Macaca mulatta: one gene and its partner. The protein of the gene in region 1 interacts with the protein of each later gene in a pairwise test. Links are inferred from orthologs where the notes say so. Each region holds a gene or a part of one and is shown on either strand. Other genes may lie near its edges.

Region 1 (2,500 bases):
GGCCAGAGAGGCTATTTTAGAGAAAAGTTGCCAAAAAGGCTTTTCAGAGGAGTTAGCGTTTGAATCAAAGTAGGGATAACATACAAGTATTGAGCGCCTACTGTATGCTAGGCTCTATACCAAGTGTTGGCATATGGCAAAGAACAAAGCAGATCAAACCCCCTGCTCCTATACCTTGTGCCCACCTGGGGAAGGAGTATCCTAAGGAGAAGGGGATGCAACGTGTGCGAAAGCCCAAAATGAAGAAGGAGCTTGGGCTGTCTCACGTGATGGCTGCACACTGGTGTGGCTGAGAGAACGGGGGACGAGGGATATTCCTGGTGAGATTAGAACCCCATTTGGGCCAGCAGGGGAGGGACTAGCAGCCGAAGGGTCACAGGGCTTGAGCCCCCTCCCACTGCCACCCTCAGATCATGCTGTTGGAGACAGCCAGGCGCTACAACCACGAGACAGAGTGTATCACCTTCCTGAAGGACTTCACCTATAGCAAGGACGACTTCCACCGTGCAGGTAGGGCCCAGGGGAGGCTTTGGGGAGGCTTGGCCCCCCTGCTAGCTGGAAGACCTGGGGCCAATTCATCCCTGTCAGAGTCTGTTTCTTTATCTCCAAAGCCGGGGTGAGGGTTGAGCCAAGGTGAGAGCAAGACAAGAGTGTGTATGTCATGCGTGGTGGTGTGTGCCTGTCGGCCCAGCTACTCAGGAGGCTGAGGAGGGAAGATGGCTTGAGGCTACAGTGAGCTGTGATTGTGCCACAGCACTCCAGCCTAGCGACAGAAGAGACCGTGTCTCTATTTTTTTCAAAAAAAGCATGTATTGGCCGAGCACGGTGACTCACGCCTGTAATCCCAGCACTTTGGGAGGCTGAGGTGGGCGGATCATGAGGTCAGGAGGTCGAGACCATCCTGGCTAACACAGTGAAACCCTGTCTCTACTAAAAATACAAAAAATTAGCCAGGCGTGGGGGCGGACACCTGTAGTCCCAGCTACTCGGGAAGCTGAGGCAAGAGAATGGCTTGAACCCAGGAGGCGGAGGTTGCAGTGAGCCGAGATCGCGCCACTGTACTCTAGCCTGGGCAACAGAGCGAGACCCCGTCTCAAAAAAAAAAAAAGCATGTATTGAGTGCCGACTCTGTACAGTGGGTTGCAGTGGAAGTTGAGACAGAAGGGCCCTGTTACCATATCAGGCGTCTTGGTGGGCACTAGGGAAAGCATCCCCCCACCCCAAAACCTGGTCTCACCCAAGGGAGGCAGCCTGGAGCTCAGTCCATTGTGAAGTGGGCAGCCTTCCCTACTGTCCAGGAGCACTGCTTCCTGCCCTCCGAGAGCGCTACCTGGGTGTGTCGCCTGGGCGGGTGGGCTTCTGGAAGAAGGCCTGGGCAGTGAGAGGCACTGCCTAGGAAGAGGGTGGGAGGCACGTTGCTAGTGCTGCAGAGCATACACCGGAGCCTCGATTCCTCATCGTCCCGTAATCTGTGTGGGACCTCTCTGCATTTCCCGACATCTGTCTGAGTCCCACCCTCTCCCCTTCCTTTTACCCTGGCCCTTTCACCACCCAAGACGGTCCCAGTAACCCTTTTAGTATGAGCTTAGCAGGGCAGGGCTTCGTGGAAGCGTTTCTGGCAGGGGGATCGGCGATTGCAAAGGCCCTGAGGTCAGGGAGAGCCGGTGGTTTGGAGGAACTACAGGGAGGCCCAGGCAGCTGGAGCACAAGGAGACGGGGTGGAGAGGTCGGGAATCCCACCCTACCCCTTCCCAGCCCCTCCTCTGGCACCACCCTGGAACACTGCCAGAGTCCCCTTGAGGGGCCCCTGCCTCCACCCCCGCCTGATGGAGCTGCTCACAGGGCAGGCAGAAGGGTCCTGTCAGCACTTGAGGCCGCCCACATCCCTCCTCTGCTCAGAACCCTCCACAGCTCCCGTCTCACTGGGAGAAGAGCTGGAGTTCTCTCTGTGGCCCACAAAGCCCTTTAGGACCTGGCCTCGCTTACTCTCTGCCCTCAGCTTCCACCCTCTCCCCCTCCTCCAGTCACTCTGGCCTCTTACTGGCACCCACCTGCCATGCTGTACTTGGGAGTTTCCTTTGCCCAGAACTAGGGGGACCAACTGGTCCTAGTTTGCCCAGGACCTTCCCAGTTTTAACACTGAAAGTCCCATGGCCTGGGTAGCCCCTGTCCCAAGTCCTGGGAACAGCAGACAGTTGGTCACCCTCACAATCCCTCACCTCCTTGGGGTTGGTCACTGCTCCAGCGTCACCCACGGCATGGCCTTCCCTGCCCGCCTTGTGTAAAATAGAACCGTGGCTCAGCAGGGCCCTTTGCCCTTCTCTGCACTGCCTGATTCCATAGAACTCACAGCCTTCTGACTGGCTGGGCCTCTTCCTAATGTGTTTGTCTATGACCTGTTCCCTAGGCCCTCAATGTAAGTGCTGGGGCCTGGCACATGGCAGGTACTCGGTGATGTTCGATGAATGAACGAACAAATCAGTCGTGGGAATGAGTTTGG
Region 2 (3,751 bases), on another chromosome or scaffold:
GGGATTTAAGCGATTCTCCTGCTTCAGCCTCCTGAGTAGCTCTGTGCCTGGTCGTGTTTTCATGTTTGTATTACCAGTTCCAAATATACACATATTAGGACTCCACAGATGCTTACTAAGTGAAGAACACTTAGTTTGAGGATAGCAAATTATACAGTTTTTTCTTTTTTTTTTGAGACAGAGTCTCACTCTGTCACCCAGGCTAGAGTGCAGTGACATGATCTCTGCTCACTGCAATTTATGCTTCATGGGTTCAAGTGATCCTCCTGCCTCAGCCTCCTGAATAGCTGGGATTACAGGAGCGCACCACCGGGCTAATTTTTGTATTTTTCGTAGAGACGGAGATTCACCATGTTAGCCAGGCTGGTCTCAAACTCCTGACCTCATTTGATCCACCTGCCTCGGCCTCCCAAAGTGTGGGGATTACAGGCGTGAGCCACTGCGGCCAGCCAGAAATAATTTTGAAACGAAAAAAATGAGAAAAGGGGAATGAACTGTGCTAGTCTCGCTTTGAACATCATGTTACAATGCGCCACTATCTTTTTTTTTTTTTTTTTTGAGACGGAGTCTCGCTCTGTCGCCTAGGCTGGAGTTCAGTGTCACGATCTCCGCTCACTGCAAGCTCCGCCTCCCGGGTTCACGCCATTCTCCTGCCTCAGCCTCCCGAGTAGCTGGGACTACAGGCACCTGCCACCACGCCCGGCTAATTTTTTTGTATTTTTGGTAGAGACGGGGTTTCACCGTGTTAGCCAGGATGGTCTCGATCTCCTGACCTCGTGATCCGCCTGCCTCGGCCTCCCAAAGTGCTGGGATTACAGGCGTGAGCCACCGCGCCCGGCCGCGCCACTATCTTTCTTAGGATGTAATTACTGCATCTAGTATCTCAGGTTAAACTTATTTTTCATAAGACATTTCTGATACCGATACCCTTTGAAATGCTAGTCTTGGCCGGGTGACTAGCCAAGGCGAAACGCCGTCTCTACTAAAAATACAAAAATTAGCCAGGCGTGGTGGCGGGTGCCTGTAATCCCAGCTACTATGGAGGCTGAGGCAGGAGAATCGCTTGAACCCGGGAGACGGAGGTTGCAGTGAGCCGAGATCGTGCCATTGCACTCCGGCCTGGGCGACAAGAGCAAGGCTCCGTGTCAAAAAAAAAAAAAAAAAAAAAAAAAAAGCCAGTCTTTAAGTACAGCGACATGTTAATTAATCAGTTAATTTGCGAGTTAACTGCTAAAATAAAATAAACAAAAAAATGCCGGTTTCCGAAGGGAGCTGAAAGCTACATACAGCGGCGTGAGGCCTGAGACAACTCAGATCAAAGAAGACAGGGCTGAAAGAAATCTCGCGAGGCCCACGCATCGACCAATATTCGCGAGATTTCGATGCCCTGTCCTTTTCCTCTTTCTGGCAGGACCACGGTTTATCTCGCGAATTTTGGGAAGTTCCGTTGGGGAAGATGGCGGCGGCCTCGAGCACCCTTCTCTTCTTGCCGCCGGGGACTTCAGACTGATCCTTCCCGCGAAGAGTAGGGACTGCTGGTACCCTGCGTCCTGGAATCCCGAGCCAACTTGTTTCCCCCGTTAGTGGTGGGGAAGGGCTTATCCTTTTGTGGCAGATCCAGTCTCTCGCCGCCTTCAGGATGAAAGCTCAGGGGGAAACCGAGGGTAAGTGACTGAGGGGGAAAGGAGGGGGCGGGACACAACTGGGGGAGCCAGTTTGTGAGAGAAGGTTCTTGCAGATGTCCCATGGGGGCCACTTGAGGGGCACAGAGTCCGGGAGAGGGAATGTGTATGAGTTTTAGATTGTCACTATACCCTCCTTGATGACTATAGAGCTTCGACTTTGGGGTGATGGGGACTCTCAACTTCTGTGAAGATTTCATGCTCGGCTAGGGCACTTTTGGCCTAAAGTGGTGCGAGACGGGGCTAGTGAATACAAAACCAGCTTACATCTCCTTCCAGAAGAGACGCCTGAATAAATTTAGGGCTGTGTGTAAACGTACTGGAGACTATTTTGGCATGAATGAAATGATTAATTCCTTGTATTTATTAGCAGCCAGCGGATCCCTACAATGTCAAGTGTTCAGATCCTGTACTGTTGTGTATTTTTAAACTGTGCTGAATTTCATTCTTTTATTGACCGAACTAATAACTGCAGAAAAACAACTTTCCTGGGGAACTTTACTAAGATTTTCTAAAGTTCCACACTCCGGCTTAGATGCTTCCTTGGCATTTTGGGCATAGTTCTGTTGATACAGTGAGCTGTGTTATTGTTTGTTTATCTCCAGTTTACTCTGAGCTTTGCAGATTAGGGTCCTTGCCTGATTCATTTTTATATAGTTTCTGGAACGTAATAGTCGCTCAAAAAATCTTGGAGCATCGAAGTGCAGATATTTATCAGCAGGTTTCTCAAGAAAAACAAGGAGTGTGTTTTGGAGGAGAGGTCGAAAGGTGAGGCCCCGCGGGAGCAGTGACTCACATCTGTAATCCCTGCGCTTTGGGAGGCTGAGGCTGGAGGATCCCTTGAGCCCAGGAGTTCGAGACCTGCCTGGGCAACATAGTGAGGCCCTGTCTCTACAAAAAAATGAAAAATTGCCGGGCGCCGTGGCTCACGCCTGTAATCCCAGCACTTTGGGAAGTCGAGGCGGGCGGATCACCTGAGGTCGGGAGATTGAGACCAGCCTGACCAACATGGAGAAACCCTGGCTCTACTAAAAACACAAAATTAGCTGGCTGTGGTGGTGTATGTCTGTAATCCCAGCTACTTGGGAGGCTGAGGTGGGAGGATCACTTGAACCCAGGAGGTGGAGGTTGTGGTGAGCCAAGATTGTGCCATTGCACTCCTGCCTGGGCAACAAGAGGGAAACTTCCTCTCAAAAAAAAAAAAAAAAAAAAAAAAAAATTGGCTGGGCGTGGTGGCTCATTCCTGTAATCCCAGCATTTTGGGAGACCAAGGTGGCGGATCACCTGAGGTCAAGAGTTCAAGACCAGCCTGGCCAACATGGTGAAACCCTGTCTCTACTAAAAATACAAAATTAGCCCGGCATGGTGGCATGCCTGCAATCCCAGCTACTTGGGAGACTGAGGCAGGAGAATCACTCAAACCCAGGAGGTGGAGGTTGCAGTGAGCCAAGGTGGTGCCACTGGACTCCAGTCTGGGCAACGAGAGCAAAACTCCGTCTCAAAAATATAAATAAATTAATTAAAAATAAATAAATAAATAAAATAAAAAATAAAAAAAATTAGGACCAGGTAGTGACTCAAGGATGTAGTCCCAGCACTTTGGGAGACCGAAGCAGGCAGATCACTTGAGCTCACAAGTTGGAGACCAGCCTGGACAACCTGGCAAAAGCCTGTCTCTACAACAAATATAAAAATTAACTAGGCATGGTGGCACAAGCCAGTAGTCTCAGCTACTTGGGAGGCTGAGGTGGGAGGATTACCTGAATCCTGTAGGTCAAGGCTCCAGTGAGCCAGAATTGTGCCACTGCACTCCAACCTGGGTGACAGAGCGAGACCCTGTTTCAAGGAAAAATTAGCTATAGCCCCAGCTACTCTGAAGGCTGAGCTGGGAGGATCACTTGATCCTGGAGCATGGGAGGTCGAGGCTACAGTAGACCTTGATTGTGCCAATGCACTTAAGCCGGGGCTGCAGGGTGATGCTCTGTCTTAAAAAAAAAAAAAAAAAAAGAAAAAATGTACTCCTCAGGTGCAAGGGGAGAAGGGTAAAAATGGAAACTTTGTGAAGTAGG

Evidence for each region.
Region 2: the proteins of NR1H2 (region 1) and MED1 interact in a two-hybrid assay, tested with the Homo sapiens proteins (2 studies listed by BioGRID and IntAct, with this or other methods). The link is inferred for Macaca mulatta from reciprocal best matches to the Homo sapiens genes NR1H2 and MED1.

Annotation. Positions count from the first base shown.
Region 1 is NC_133424.1:62,768,943-62,771,442, forward strand, and holds part of NR1H2 (oxysterols receptor LXR-beta), read left to right. Parts: intron 1-410; coding exon 411-510; coding exon of another isoform or gene 511-537; intron 538-2,500. UniProt on the Homo sapiens protein: Nuclear receptor that exhibits a ligand-dependent transcriptional activation activity. Binds preferentially to double-stranded oligonucleotide direct repeats having the consensus half-site sequence 5'-AGGTCA-3' and 4-nt spacing (DR-4).
Region 2 is NC_133421.1:63,789,027-63,792,777, reverse strand, and holds the start of MED1 (mediator of RNA polymerase II transcription subunit 1), read left to right. Parts: upstream 1-1,429; 5' UTR 1,430-1,639; coding exon 1,640-1,664; intron 1,665-3,751. UniProt on the Homo sapiens protein: Component of the Mediator complex, a coactivator involved in the regulated transcription of nearly all RNA polymerase II-dependent genes.